Diceros bicornis minor: one gene and its partner. The protein of the gene in region 2 binds, or shares a complex with, the protein of the main gene of each other region. Links are inferred from orthologs where the notes say so. Each region holds a gene or a part of one and is shown on either strand. Other genes may lie near its edges. The genes, in order: ZBP1 and RIPK3.

What was found.
Region 1: RIPK3 (region 2) and ZBP1 share a complex: the UniProt entries of both Homo sapiens proteins name them as parts of the AIM2 PANoptosome complex. The link is inferred for Diceros bicornis minor from reciprocal best matches to the Homo sapiens genes RIPK3 and ZBP1.

What each region holds. Positions count from the first base shown.
Region 1 is NC_080758.1:5,918,661-5,926,550, forward strand, and holds the start of ZBP1 (Z-DNA-binding protein 1), read left to right. Parts: upstream 1-4,778; 5' UTR 4,779-6,552; coding exon 6,553-7,189; intron 7,190-7,826; coding exon of another isoform or gene 7,827-7,829; coding exon 7,830-7,890.
Region 2 is NC_080744.1:23,680,260-23,688,063, reverse strand, and holds the start of RIPK3 (receptor-interacting serine/threonine-protein kinase 3), read right to left. Parts: upstream 3,170-7,804; 5' UTR 3,052-3,169; coding exon 2,990-3,051; intron 2,849-2,989; coding exon 2,708-2,848; intron 2,588-2,707; coding exon 2,278-2,587; intron 1,813-2,277; coding exon 1,667-1,812; intron 1,543-1,666; coding exon 1,496-1,542; intron 1,290-1,495; coding exon 1,122-1,289; intron 1,015-1,121; coding exon 947-1,014; intron 693-946; coding exon 390-692; coding exon of another isoform or gene 336-389; intron 274-335; coding exon 132-273; intron 1-131. UniProt on the Homo sapiens protein: Serine/threonine-protein kinase that activates necroptosis and apoptosis, two parallel forms of cell death. Necroptosis, a programmed cell death process in response to death-inducing TNF-alpha family members, is triggered by RIPK3 following activation by ZBP1.

The DNA of each region.
Region 1 (7,890 bases), on a different chromosome or scaffold from region 2:
TTTGGTGAATGACGGGATGAATAAACGGGGTGGCTTTGCTACCTCAGAGGGGACGGCTGGGATCATATGATGAAGATACGACTCGCTCAGCGTTCTGTGAGCACCTTCATGGGCACGATCCCATTCAACTCCTGCAACAACCCAGAGGTAGGTGCTGCTGTGATTACCTCTGTCAAAGGGAGAAACTGAGGCTCAGAGAGAGGAGTCCCTCGCTCTGGGAGCAGAGCCCCGGTCTGCCTGACTCCAGGGGACACAGGTGACCGGCGGAGCCCCGTCAATGGCTCTGCCGTGAAGGGCAGCGAGCAGGGCCGGGGCTGGCCCTTGCCTGGTCGTGTCCCTCGCCCTCCGCTGGTAGCTCTTGTGACCTCGTGCCATCCCCCGCTCTCTCTGGCCACCTCTGGTTCTCGGGCCTTTGCCCCTGACACAAAACAGGTCATTACCCACATTTGGTGCCTTCAGACATTTCCACTTCCCCCCTGAGGTGAATTCACCGAGGAAATGTGAAAATAACATCCACGCTGCCTGGTAGAAGGAGACTGGGCTTTGCCAACACAATGAGCAGTAAAAATATCTCTCTTTTAAAGGAGAGAGAAAGAGAAATTTAAAGACTCAAGATCAGTAACATGTAATTATCATTGAGTTTGGGCGGAGAGTTCTAATAGTTTCCAGAAAAACACAAGCCATGAAAAAGGAGTGTGCTTTCCAAGCAAAGAGAGATTCGGGCTCTGGGGGTTGGAGGCGCCATCTTGGGACTCCTGTGGCCTGGAGGCCCATCCCGGGGGAGTGAGGGGGCACCAGTATCCCTCCCCCCCTGTCCTCGTCTGCCTTCTACACTGGATAGGAGGTCCTGAGAGTATGGAACCTGCCTTTGATCTCGGCCTCGGTGGGGCTCAGCCTTGGGCCTGTTCGATAGACAGGCCCCCGTGAATGGACACACCTCAAGGCACAGAGGGGTATCCTTGCTCCTTCCTTCAGGGGACAACACAGCCTCACAGGGACAGCTAGATAATCCTCCAATATCCGTTGTCCCGTATTTTGAAGTAATAGAACCTCCAATTTTGGCTGGCTGCATGGTGGGCCAGAATAAAGACCATCTTTCCCAGACTGCCTTGCAGATAGGCCAGGCCCTAAGACTCAGGGGATGTCAGTGGAATGTGTGTGCAACTTGCAAGTGTTCTTAAAGGAAAGGTACCTGCCCTTCTTCTCTTTCCTCCTTCCTACTGGAAGGAATGCAGACATCATGGCTGGAGCTTGAGCAGCCATCCTAGAACATAAGGGCAACCTGAGAACAGAGGCCACAAACAGCAGAGCAACAAGATAGAAGGGGCCTGGGTCTCGACACTATGGACCTGGACCACCTACCAGACTGTTATGGGAGAAAGAAAGACACCTCTGTATTGTTTAAGCCACTGATATTTGGGTTGAAGACAATCCTTATAGTCAAAATTACCTTGAAAATCTCTTAAATTGAGAAGAGAAATACAAGATAATCCAAATCTGTATAAGTGAGAATCCCGCTCAGTGTGGTGAGATGCTCACAGCAGGTTCACAGCTTCCGTGAATTCCAGACATATCACAGAATGCTCTGGAAGGGGGAACCACTTGCATTAAATTGTTCCTTCTTTCTCTTTCTTGCTCTTTTTTTTCCCCCTAGCACCTAAAGTATTGTGGAGACACATCACATCACATTTTCTAACTTACGCAAATTTTGTGAGCACCTACCTAGTGTCAGATAGACATGGTTTTTCTTATTTACTATCTCCATTTCATAATTAAGGAAACTGAGGCTCAGAGAGGTGGTGACACACAGCTGGGGAAGCAGGGCTGAAGCTCGGATCAGACCTGCCCTGAAGAAGAAGGCAAGGCCGAGTCCTTGTCCAGGCGGCACCTCCCGGGCGCTCGGCCCTCCTGGCGTGGTGGTTCCTGCTGGAAGGTCCGAGGGACGGTCAGCGAGCCAGTGCGGAGGCCCCACGGGGCTCCAGGCCCCGGGCCGGTTGGTGAGCGGGCGCCACCTGGTGGCTACTCTCGGCACAGCTCCAAGCCACCCGCTGGGTTCAGCAGGAGCCCCCCCGAGGGCGCCCCCACGATCTCCCTCCACACCCCCAATTACCCGCATTTAAAATTAATATTTTCAGTTCATATAGAGATACCCGATTCTTTGGTTTTACGTAAAAGGGGAACAAAAGCATCCTTGTGGTTTCCTGTTTTTACCGAGTTGTCCAGCTCTCCGCCTCAGACGGCGTGAGATCACCTGGGGCGCTCGGCCGCGCCCCAGAGGTTCGGAGTTAATGGGTCTGGGTGGGGACTCGTCGTTGAGTTTGTCCTGCTTGCTCTGCGGAGACAGCTTCCAGACGAGCCTCCTCCGGGACCCTTTTCCAGGGCTGCCCTTGTTCCCAAGCCCCTCCGGGTGCAGAAACGCTGGGGCGAGGGTCCCCCAGGGCGCGAGGACATCCGCTCGCCCTCCCAGGCCTCTGCAGCGGGGACCCTGAGTCCGGGTCTTTGGGGGCTGAGCTCCTGACCCTCTCGGCTGCCTCATCCAAAGCCCTTCAGCTCTGGGGCCTCAGTTTCCCCTTCTGTTCCCTGGAAGAGAACAGAGGCTCTGAACTGCTCAGCCCCTTTGAGGATTTATGAAAGAGATGGGTCCTTTTTCCAGAAACAGGTCCCAACCGTGCTCGTGACTGTAGATGGCCCTGGTGGCTGTGATCAGACTGCTTAACTGGATTAACCCCCTAGTCTTCCTGAGGTGGCTACTTTTATTAGCCCCATTTTACAGATGAGGCACAGAGAGGTTAACATACTTGCCCAAGGTCACAAAGCCAGTAAATGGTGGGGCTGGGTTAGAACCCAAGCATCTCTGTGGCCTTGGACAAATGACCTCACCCACCCGAGCCTCGATTTCCCCTCCGAGAAGAGAGGCCGGACCCCGAGAAGAGAGGCCGGACCCAGCCCCCACCCTGTAGATGGGTCAGGGGGACACAAAGATTGGAGAGCACATAGTAGACACTCACTAAAGAAAGATGCACTGGGACACGCACGCGATCCCTCACAGGGCACCGCCAGCTGTCTCTTCCGTGTGTGGGGGTCAGGTGGGCAGTGGGGGCGCCTGGAAGGTCGGGGAAGCCTCCTGGCCCTGGGGGATGCTGCGTCTTGCCCAGCCCAGCTCTTCCCTACCAATATCTAGACGGAGGCCTGCTCGGACTTGCTCATCAGTTCTGCTTTCGATTTTGTTTCTCTCGAAAGCCATACACAGAAGTTTCATTTTCTCTAGAAGGCTGGTCAGGGCTGGCTCCTGGGCTCCGCTTCCGGGGTGTGCACAGCTGACACCGCCAGGTTGAAGCTGGCATTCCTTCACAGCTGCCGGAGCACGAGGCTCGGCCACGCCAGGACAGCCGGCATCACCGTGGCCCACCCTCAAGGCCGCGATGCAGGAGCCGGCCGCTGCCCCCCAGGCTCCCGGGCTCCCAGCTGCTGCTGCCGGCATGGCCGAGGCCCCTGCTGACCCCACCGAAACAGGTACTTTCTTCCCTCCAAGGAAGTGGGAGCTCCCCCGTGGGACTTGTACTTCTCTCTCTGGTTCTTGGCCCAGATCACGGCGAAGGTAGCAGGGTCCCCTCAAGCACAGCAGTGACGAGGAGGAGAGCACAGCGTCCCCTCGGAGGGCTCCTCTGCCTCGGCACCCTGCAACACACTTGGTGTGCGCTTCACAGTGACGCTCAGCGGTGAGCGCAATTGTGTTTCCATTTTCCGAATGAGCTCGAGACCGCCGGCCCTGCGGGTGGGATGACTCAGGGCCTACGGCCGACCCGTCCTCATACTCATTTTGAGAAACAGCGGAAGCCGCTTTGACAAGATGCGCATGTGCGTGTTTTCCCCTCGTAGCATTCTGTCTTCAGATGACGCTTTCCTCCAGGAAGAATCACCGGTGAAAGTCAGCCGCGCACCGAGCGCGGCCGTGCTCTACGGTTGACGCTAAGGGCGCCACAGTGTGGGCTGCGGGCGAGGGCGGTTTCTGTTTGTTATCATTAGCTCATTTAGTCCTCACAAGCTTTAAAGTTGATACTATTATTCCCATGTCACAGATGGAGAAACTGAGGCCCAGAGAGGTCACATAGCTAGGAGATGGCAGAGCTGAGGCTCAAACCCTGGAAACCAGCCATCAGAGAACAAAAAGGAGAAAAAGAGGGTGTGCTGGGGAGGGGTGCCAGGCAGGGGCCCTGGGAGGGGTCCTGGGGAGGGGTGCTGGGCAGGGGTCCTGGGAGGGGTGCAGGGGAGGGGTCTGGGGAGGGGTCCTGCGAGGGGTGCAGGGGAGGGGTCCGGGGAGGGGTGCCAGGGAGGGGTCCCGGGAGGGGTGCAGGGTAGGGGTCCGGGGAGGGGTCCTGGGAGGGGTGCAGGGGAGGGGTCCGAGGAGGGGTCCTGGGAGGGGTGCAGGGGAGGGGTCCGGGGAGGGGTCCTGCGAAGGGTGCAGGGGAGGGGTCTGGGGAGGGGTCCTGGGAGGGGTGCAGGGTAGGAGTCCGGGAAGGGGTGCCAAGGAGGGGTGCCGGGGAGGGGTCCGGGGAGGGGTCCTGTGAAGGGTGCAGGGGAGGGGTCTGGGGAGGGGTCCTGGGAGGGGTCCTGGGATGGGTGCAGGGTAGGAGTCCAGGGAGGGCTGCGGGAAGGGGTGCCAAGGAGGGGTGCCGGGGAGGGGTCCTGGGAGGGGTGCAGGGGAGGGGTCCGGGGAGGTGTGCCAGGGAGGGGTCCCGGGGAGGGGTCCCGGGAGGGGTCCTGGGAGGGGTCCGGGGAGGGGTCTGGGGAGGGGTGCCGTGCAGGTAGGAGTCCAGGGCACTGGGTAACCTCATCTACCTTCTTCCCCATTGGCTTCTCCCTTTCTTTACCAACCTGTCGCTCACACCTGGTCCATGTCACAGCTTCCGGTCACTGAGGTCTCTGTGCAGGAGGCCAGCCCCGCCCTTCCGGTTTGGCCTTCACCCACACCTGCTCCCCAAGCCTGCTTGCCCTTTGTGGTCAGGGCAGTGGAGGAGGAGGGAGGGGAAGAGGCTACCCGGGGGCAGGCTTTCCAAGAATCAAAACTCTTTTCAAGAAAGGCAAAGCCAGGGTCTGGCCCGGTGGCATAGTGGTTAAGTGCCCGCGCTCTGCTTCAGCAGCCTGGGGTTCGCAGGTTCGGATCCCGGGCGCGCACCAGCGATCCGCTTGTCGGGCCATGCTGTGGCAGCGTCCCATATAAAGTGGAGGAAGATGGGCACAGATGTTAGCCCAGGGCCAGTCTTCCTCAGCAAAAAGAGGAGGATTGGTAACAGATGTTAGCTCAGGGCTAATCTCCCTCACACACAGAAAAAGAAATGCAGAGCCAGGTGTGTAGTTAGTTGGACAGGGATCCCCTGGCCGCTGGGGTAGAATTTGGGGGGTGACAGGGCGGGTGCCGCCAGGTGTTCTAATGGCACCTCTAATTGCAAGGATGGAAACATCCTGACCGCAGGGCGAGCCACAGCGCCCAGCTGTCGAGTCAGGTGGGTTAGCCCTTCCCCAATAGTGCTGCCACCAAGGACCCCGGAAAAACCCAGAAGGCGAAGGCCAGCTGCTGCCCCGGAAGGGGACCCAGGTCTTGCCAAGAAGGGCCCTGCTTTGCATCCCCCTCGGGGTTCTTGGGGGCAGACATTTGCTGGCGGCAGACTGGGCAGCTGCCCACAGGCTCTCACCAGCCCCGCGGCCCTGTCCTCTCACCCCCGGAGGAGCAGCTGGCTGAGGCTTGTGGGACCCTGTCCGCAGAGCAGAGGCCATTCAGAGAGTTCCTCCTTGAGCCTCACGAGATCCTGCTGAGGGGTGTTAACCTCAGATGGGGAAACAGAGGCCCAAGAGGAGCCGCCTTACCCTGCTCCAGGTCATGTGGGCAGACATCCGTCCCAGGAGTGGGCAAATCCACTCACTCACTCATTTGCCTGGTCACTCATTCCTTCAAGGGCCATTTCCTGAGAACCTACTGTGTGCCCTGCACTGTGCTAGACATCATAGGTACTACCGTGAGTCAGGCAGTCACAGCAGGGAATCCTGGGGGACATTCTGCAGGGGACCCACACACAAACAGCACCCCACCCACTCAGGGCATCCGGGACAGCTTCCCAAAGGAGATGGCATCTGAGCGAGACCTGGAAGTTAAGTAGACGCTGGACAGGTGGAGAGGGGGGAAGAGTGTTCCTGACATAGGGAACAGCATGTGCAAAGGCCCAGTGGTGAGTGGGGCTGGAAGGAGCGCAGACGGGTTGGCACTTGGAGGGAAGTTGAAGGTGGGTGAAGACGAAGCGGGGTGGTCGGCAGAGCCAGTTCTGGCTGCCGAGTGGAGAGTGGACCGCAGGGAACCCGACTAGAGTTGGTGGAATTGCTGTCACCTGAGGTGGTGACGAGGAACAGGGAAGAGGAGGTGGAGAAGAGGAGACGAGGGACTCAGGAGAGCCAGGAACAGGATTTCCAGGACTCCGTGTTTGGGCATCAGGGAGAAAGAGCCGTTTCTGAATGTCTCTTGGGTCTCTGGCTGGATGAATAGCGACACCACTGACATGGATGATGAGCCCCAGAGGAGGGGCAGCTTCCCTGGGGGGCTCAGAGCCCAGCAGGCCTGCCTCTCCCTCCCCCGCCCCCCCCCACTCTCCCGCCTCACTCTCCCCCGTCCTGCCGCCCTCCACTCCCCTCTGCTCTGAGGACCTCTCAGAGCTGAGCCTGAGAGCTGAGAGTTCCCACCTGCCCTCGAGCACTCACAACAGGGGGAGCACACTCGGAAGGCCTAGGCACCTCCTCTGGCCACCAGGCTGTCCAGCCAAGGTCACCTCTGACCAGCCCAAGTGCCCCTCACTGAACAGAGGTGGATGTCTGCTCGGGTCTCTGCCCTGGACCCCTCTCGGGGGGTCTCCCTCGCCCCCCCAGCCCAGAATCGATTGTGGGGGGACTCGGTTCTCTTTCTGCCCCTCTTGTCGCCCAGACCTGGAGCAGAAGATCCTGCAGGTGCTGAGGGGTGCTGGCTCCCCGGTGAAGGCTGCCCAGCTGGCCAAGGACTGCCAAGTGCCCAAGAAGAGACTCAACCAAGTCCTCTACCGGATGAAGGAGGAGGCGAAAGTCCACCTCGAGGGCCCCGCGACATGGCGCCTGGGCGAGGGTCAGACTGGAGAAGTGGTTCCCACAGAGCGGGCCCAGCCCTGCCAGGGTAACCTGCCTCCGGGGCGGGATGGGGGGGTCGGACCCTGCATGAGTCCTGGCAGTGGACAGCCCGGATTCGGACCTGGGCTCAAGCAGGGGCTCTGCCCCTTGGGGGCGCGTGAGGTCCCCTCACCATGCCTTGACTTCTTTTTCTGGCCAGCGGAGATGACAGTAGGGCTGCATCATAGGGTTGCGAGAGGATTAGATGCAAAGGGCTCAGCCTGGTGCCAGCACATAGTAGGTGCAGAGTAAAACATTAATAGTAATAACAGAAAATGGTAATGACAACAACGACGATAGAGATAATAATAACAGAACAGACTTAGCATGGCGCTAGATCCTCCTTTCCAGCTCTTCAAAGAGCTGCCATTGTCAGGTACTCGCAGGGGCCGGTGCGGAGCCCGGGGGTCACCCTGCCCGCACCCAACCCCGGAGGTGGGTAGACGGCGTTCTTCCCTCTTCCCAGAGAGGTTAATTAGCAGGGAGCCTGCACAGCAGGAAAGTGGCAGGGCCGGATTTGAAGGCAAGTCTGTTCACTCTAGAATCCGAGTTTGGAACGCCCGTGCGCTGGGGCCACCCTTGTCTGGTGGATCCTCGTCCCTTCCCCTGTGCCTCCGCCCCCTGACGCATCTTTCTTTCTCCAGCAGCGAGGCCCCAGCAAGAAGTGGCTGCAATTCCGGAGACACCTTGCCCTCAGCTCAGCAAACG
Region 2 (7,804 bases):
GCTTCTTCATTTATAAAATGAGGAGGTCGGGGTGGATGGCCTCAAGCCCTTTCTCTCCCCTGGATACCCTGGATCTATCTAGGGTCTTGAGGAAGAAGCTGGTGGGGAAAGAAAGGAGTGGGAGTGAATACCTGATATTGGACTTGGCTCCGGCGCCCTGGGAGGCCAGTGGGTACCATGTCTCTCAGCCCCCTGTGAACAACACAGTGCTCTCGGGCTCCCTGTCCTGAGGTCTCTTCCCCCATCGCACACCACCTCAGCCCCAAGTTTCCCCTGGCAAGGGGACAGGATTCACAGGAGTCCTAGTGTATCCGCTAGTCCTGCCAATGTCTCACCTGATTCCCTTGGGGTCCAGGACCTGGGGTCCAAGCTGAGGAGGGGCTGAGTACCTGGTTTCTGAAAGGTGAGTTCTCTGGAGTTTGGGGAGGTTGAGCTGTTGAGTCAGATGTCCCTGCTGTCCGGTCATGCTGAACCTGCTTTCCTTGTGCCCTGATCCTCTCAGGAGTGTTTGTACACTTTTCAGGAACAGAGTTGGGGAACCCCTCCACATTCAGGTTGTTCAACATCTCAGCCACAGTATTGCAGCTTCCTGTGGTTTGCCCAGGGCCATCCATTTCTGTCTTTCTTGGGCCTGGCTCAGGGGTAAACATCGTCCTGTTGCTGCTCCTGTGCTCAAACATGAACTTCTTCACCTGCAAGGACAGGGGGCTTGTTGGGTGTGGAGGTGGGGGAGCTGAGTAGCCAAGGGAGGAGTCTCTTGGTCCACAGTCTGTTGCCTGGGAACTCAGGGGTGGGGTGGGGAAACTGAAGAGGAGGGTCAAGGCATAAAGAACAGTGGTCAGTGGGGAGTCATTGGGTGGCCAGGGGAGTCATTGGGTGGCCAAGGGAGCCATGTTGCCATCTCTGACCAGCTTCTAGGGGGCGGGGGGTTGTGTTGGGTACTCACCATGGAGACAGCATCTTCTATCTTGTCCTCCACCCGAAGGAAAGCTTTCTTCATTTTTGGACGGCAGTCTGGAGAGAAAGCAGAGTGGGTGGTAGGGGAGCAAAACTTCTTTTCCAGGAAAAAGCCCCCTGTAGACAGATCCAGGCCTACCCCAGCTGCCAGATGGCCAGCTCACCTTGGAAGGAGGGCCTGTCTTTGGGCTCATGGCTCCAGCAGTGCTGCATTAACTCCTTCAGTCCCTCCAAGCCAGGAGTCTCAGGGCCGGGCTTGGGCAGCTCAGTTAAGGGGGGCCGGACCTTCCTTTCACACACTGCTGCCTTCACCAGCGATATCTGGGACACTACTGGGATTGGGATGGACGATGTGCAGAGAAGATATTAAGGATACGAGGGGCCACCTGTTCCATCATGGAAAGGGGCAAGGAGTGTAGTCCAAGGGGAGGTGAGGGAGGAGGACAATCTGAGCAGGTAAGCAGGAAGAGGAGGGGTTGGGGGCTCGTGAGAGGAGGTACCCGGGGTTAAGGATCCCAGAGTCTGTCCAAAGTCTTACTCTCATGGTCTCTTCCAGCTAGTACTGCCCACATTAGGATCCCGAAGCTGCACAAGACACAAAGCTGAGGCTTGGCCCTACTACTGGCAAGACTCCTCTCCCGTTACCTTCCCCTAGAAGGGCCCAGAGAGGTGTAGAAATTGGGGACATGTGTTTGCAGTGAGTACTTACCTGTAGACATCACAGGCCATGGAGGCCTTCTGGTTTATATCAGCCAACAGTTCTGGGGCCAAGTAGGCTAGGGTGCCCCCTGCCTTCCCTGATCCTGCCCCTGACTGTGAGCCTCCCTGAAACGTGGACAGGCCAAAATCTGCCAGCTGCAAAAGGAGGGAAGAAGAAGGAGGTAGGGGATGGACAGTGCCAACCAGCTTCCAGAATTCCCTCCCTGCCAGGAGATGCAGATCCAGCCTTGTAAAGGGAGTATGGAAGGCTAGGGAACGGTCAGACCAGTGGGGCCCTTGGGTTGGAAGTCTGGGTCCCCTCTCCATAGGGCTGGGTCAAGGTCTGAGTCTGCTGGGCTAAGTTAGTCATGGGTCTCTGGAGGGCCTGGTGAGGTGGGCCTGTGGAACTGACTGTGTCGGTCAGGGCCTCTATCACCTGGTATGGCAGAGATAAAGCTCCTGAGTGACACTTGGGCAGCCCTGTGTCCAGAGGGAGATGCTGAGGCTATTCAGTAGCCAGAGCTGCAGCAGGTCCTGTGTCCCATTAAGCGGGGGAAGGGCTGGAGCATCTCAGGAGCAAGACTTTGTCCAAAGGCTGGGCTAGGGTGTGGATGGGCTGACCTGGACATGCAGCTCTGAGTCCAGCAGGACATTGGAAGGCTTGAGGTCTCGGTGCAGAAGGACGGGGTTCTGGCTGTGCAGGTAACACATCCCGAGCACCAACTCCTGCAGCAGGCGGCAGAGGAGCGGCCAGGGCCGAGGGCACTGGGGCTGCAGCAGCCCTGCCAGGGACCCATTCTCCATGAATCGAGTCACCAGAGCTGGCCCGGACACGTAGTCCCACTCCAGCTTCTCGGTGACCCCCAGCAGGAGCAGGACGTACTGGTTACGCAGATTTGCCATGGCCTTCACCTCCCTGGATATCGCCTCCCTACACCCCAGGACAGAGATGGAGTTGGCTCTGCTCCTGGGAAGACCCCTCCCTTTCCCATTCAGGCCCCACCTCCTTGGCCAGACACCAACTGGCTCCAAAGAAGCTTGGGTCACTCACGAGTTCACGATCTTGACTGCCACATCATGACCCCACGACCTGTGTTGCACCCGGAACACGGTGCCAAACCCGCCTTTGCCAACCAACTTCGGGTTCTCCAATTCCTCGATGGGCACCAGGGAGGCTGGGGCTCCGCTAGGCCTGAGAGAGAGAGCCTCGTCCACCAGCTGGCCATGGCCCCAAGTCCACGCTGCCCCCTGCACACCCCCACCCCCGCCTGGCCCCGTGATTCCGGGGACTTGGCACTGTCAGTTGTCTCCTGGCCTCCCACTCTCCACTCACCACAACTTGACGCAAGACATCAGGCTGGAAGGGTGAGGGGCTTCTGGAAGTTTCGAGCCCATGAGGATGGAGTGACTTCTGGGAACGGGATTTGTGGCAGAGAGGGGGAGGGGATCGGGAGAGGGGTCAATCTCTAGGCCACTGCACGGTTCCGCTTCCCGGGTCGATGTGCCTGCACCGAGTGAGTTAATAACTTCCTTCTCCGACAGGCGCCTCTATGGTCCCGCCCCAGTAGTGGGAGGGGGTAGTGTAAAACGGAAGCTAGTGCTTCTTTCTTTTAACCAGTGTTTCCTTGAGCACTTGCTGTGTGCCTCGGCCAGGTTAGGCGTCACTGGGCATTTGGGGTACCACGGAAGGAGTCCTCACCTTCCAGGAACGCACAATCACCTCACTCCTATAGTCAGCGTTTCTCCCTTCTCCCACAGGATTCCCAGCTCCAGCACCCACCAGGCCTGGGCGGGGGGGAGGGGATGGTGCTGAGGAGGATTTTGTGGTCCTAGGGCTCAGCTCTCCTATAGCTGCCCTAAGATCATAGCCAACACTTCTATAAAGGCTGCCATGTGCCAGGTACATATATTAGCTTATTTACTTCTCACATCAACCCTAGGGGGATTGGTACTGTTTTTATTCTTCATGGATGAGGAAATGGAGGCACTGATAGTTTAAGTATCCTGCCTAAGCCAGTATGAATTGACTTCAGAGTCTGGCTCTGAACCACCGAGTTTTCCTATTCTCACACAGGCTTCAGGGCTGTACCACTCAGCTGGTCATGAGGGGGCTGAGGACGGTGTGACGCATCCAACAGTGTAGTGAAGGGTCCCTGTGTGTATTCCTGCCCAGTCCCTGACAGCTGCTCTTGCTGGCAAGCCCCTGGCATTGGTAGTGACTTGCCTGCTGGCAAGACCAAGACCTACTCCCAGGGCATTGTGGTCAGATGAACTAGCTCAGCTAGAGGGCTGCTGACATTGTGGTGTACACTGCAGTCGAAACACCTCAGCGCCTCCCTGCCCTCTCCCAGCATGCCAACTCCTCCATGCAAATGCCCTGGTTAATACACGTTCCCGACAGGCATATGCTCTGGACAAGGGCCTTTAAGAACTCAGGAGGGCCGGCCCCATGGCTCAGCGGTTAAGTGCGCGCGCTGCGCTGCTGGCGGCCCGGGTTCGGATCCCGGGCGCGCACTGACGCACCGCTTCTCCGGCCATACTGAGGCCGCGTCCCACATACAACAACTAGAAGGCTCTGCAACTATGACATACAACTATCTACTGGGGCTTTGGGGGAAAAAAATAAAAAAATAAATAATAAAAAAATTAAAAAAAAAATTAAAAAAAAAAAAAGAACTCAGGAGCTTGGGGAGCCTTAAGGATTTAGGGTAGACAAAAAGTGTCCATATTTTACGTGCCCAAAGCCTGACCATGGCTGGAGGTTGTGGGAACTAGATACGGCCACCCCTAGACGCTCAGTGTTTCACGAGGAGACCCAACCATACAGGTCGTGTGCCAGCTTCACTGGAAGGTGCTCGCCTTGGTATGCACTTTTCATTCTGTCCAGTGGTCCACGGGCTCTGCTGGTTGGAGCAAAAGTGGCCAGCAGTTAACTGTGGTTTCTAGAGCACCTGAGAACTCCAGGATCCACAACGTGAATTCTGGTGGAATCAGTCCAAGCTGTAATTCTTAGACTGTAGTCTCCTTAAAAGCCAGTATGTGGGTGATACCAATAAATATTTGTTGAATTGAATTAATAAAGGAACGAGCAAAACTTTCGGAGCTTCCTTAAGACGCTGATCACCCCAGCTGGAGCTCCGTGCTCATTGGGAGGAAAGAGGAGGTTGGGCTTCTTTATGGTTTGGGGGTTCTCACTGCATCTGCACAGTTGACAGAATCTGTCTGAAGTAGACTTGACTCTAGAGATATGGCGTATCTCACAGAATACAATGGCAGTCCTCAAAAAGTCTAGTCAGGAGCTAAGAGCCATCAGAGGGGGCAGCCATTCCTTTCATGATTCTCTTTGGGAGAAGACCCTAGTCTCCACTTGAGGGGAACAGGCAGACAGGAGAGAGAAGGGTGTTTAAAGGCCTTTTTATGGCTGGATTTCTTTAGATTGGGACAGGGGTCAGCTACTATAAGCATAGGGTTGCGGCTAGTGTCAGAGCCTGTACTATTTTTTGACTCAAAATAGACCAAGCGCCTTTAGAAGAAGGAAGGGCAGGGAGAGGAGCCTGGAATGAGTGCCTGACAAGATCCTCTGCTTCTGCAGGAGGGGACTGGTAAGGCAGAGTTGATTCCTGGATTTTGGAGCTCTGGCCTTCCCTGTGACCCCAGGTGTCACAGGCTTTTGGAGTCTATTTGGGTGTCTCTCATCCCTTCAGTTCTCTGCTCCCAACTGTCTTTGGTTACTTTCAGCCCATCCCTAGGACCTGCTCTGGTTCCTTCTCCCTAGCTGTCGGGGTGGGGGGACAGAGGGTGTGTCTCTCTTCTTGCGTATTCTAGCCCTAACTAATTCTCATCTCTTGTTTGATTAAGAGATTCTAATTATAGACCAAATGGTATTAATTGAGGTGACAGTAAAAAGGATTATGGAGGATTTTCATGTTCCAGAGTGTTTGATTATTTTATATTAGCATGCATTACTTTTATAAACAGTTAAGGGAGAAGATTGTGATATGTGCAAAGATTTAGTTATAAGGATATTCACTGAAGTGTTGTTGAAAATAGTGAAAAAATAATGGGGCCGGCCCTGTGGCATAGAGGTTAAGTGTGCGCGCTCCGCTGCTGGTGGCCCGGGTTCTGATCCCGGGCGCCCACCGACGCACCGCTTGTCAGGCCATGCTGTGGCGGCGTCCCATATAAAGTGAGGGAATATGGGCACGGATGTTGGCCCAGGGCCAGTCTTTCTCAACAAAAAGAGAAGGATTGGCGTGGATGTTAGCTCAGGGCTGATCTTCCTCACAAAAAAATATTAATAAATAAAATAGTGAAAAAATAAAACCCTAGCTATTCAATCATAGGAAAAAGACTGAAAAAATTATGCAATGGAAGATTATGTAGCCATTAAAATGATGACTTAGACCTATATTTATTAATATGACAGGTGTTTATCATATATCAAGTGGGAAAAAAAACAGATTATAAAACAGTATGTCCCATATAATCATATTTTTTGTTTGTTTTAAAAATTCTCTTCCAGGAGTGTGACAGAGAGCTCAAAAGCCTCCCATAGCAGAATACCTAAATGCTATATAAATCACAATAAACATGTATTTTTAAATTTGTTAGTGAGCTCCCAATAAAATAAAGGTAATCTCCTAAGGGCATCCCCCTGAAACCAACAAAATAGAAAAATGTTAAAAAAGAAGGTAAATAGAGAGGTCAACTAATTAGAAACCTAGAGCTTTGGGGACTGGGTAGAGGGTATGGGAGATTAAGGGAGAACCAAAGAGTAGGCCCTAGGGCCTAGGAAGATGGAGGAGCTAAATATAAGACACGCCTATTCCCTGACAAGCTGGGGCCCTCAAAGGGGCCTCATTTTTTGTGGAAAGGAAAAAGTCCACCTGCTTGTGGAGGGAACCTGCAAGGGAACCTGTCTAGGCTGCAGCGCTAGATGTTAAAATTAATGAAAATGTTAGTTTCCCTGTGAGATCTGCTCTCACACGGATCTGTAGTTGGAATTTTTACTTTCCTTTTGATCAAATAAACCATAAGTTGAAAGATTTAAATGGCCCCAGATTATTAATGCCCCCTGGAGTCCAGCAGAAGCAAACTGAATCCTCCTTAGAAGAAAGCATCCTTAATCCAAGTTTCTGGATCAAATTCAGGCAAATATAAACTCACAAAAAAATTTACTGGGGCCGGCTCGTGGTGTAGCGGTTAAGCGCACGCGCTCCACTGCTGGCGGCCCGGGTTCGGATCCCAGGCGCACACCGATGCACTGCTTGTCAGACTATGCTGTGGTGGCATCCCACATAAAGTGGAGGAAGATAGGCACGGATGTTAGCTCAGGGCCAGTCTTCCTCAGCAAAAAGAGGAGGATTGGCACAGATGTTAGGTCAGAGCTGATCTTACTCACACACACAAAAAAATTTACTAAATATATAAAGATTCAAATCACCATGAGGGAGAATCTGCAGGAACTATAATCAACAGGTTTAGATCTTTAAGGGCTTCAGAGTTTGGAATAATCAGATGAAGACTCAAAAGAAGCTATTGTCAAATGTTTAAAGAAATAAAAGATGGAATAGAAAAATGAGCAAGGACTAAGAAATTATAAAAAATACCCTGATAGGTTTAGGAAAAAAATAGAATATCAAGAAATAAAAAACTGTGTATAGCCATCAAAATTAAAATTGCAATGCTTGGTTAAACAGAAGATACAGCTGAAGAGAGAAATAGTGTAATAAAAGTTAGATCTGAAGAAATTCTCCAGAATGCAGGAAAGAGAGACAAGCAGATAGAAAAATTAAGAGGCAAAGAATGAGGAGGTCAAACAATTATCAAATTGGATTTCCATGAGGAGAGAAGGGAAAAAAAATGGGCACAAGGCAATATTTGAGGAGAAAATGAGAATTTTCAAGAATTGTTGGAAGACAGGAATCCACAAATATAGGAAGCACAATTTATGGCAGGAAGGATAAATATAAAGAAATCCACATCTAGATACATTTCAGTGAAACTACAGAACAATGAAGACAAAGTAACAACCTGAAAGGCTAACAAGAAAACGTGGATCATCTGCAAAGGAACACAACTAAACCAGTAGCACACTTCACAGCCATAGTGGAAACCAGAAGACATTGGAATGATCCAAAGTGCCAAA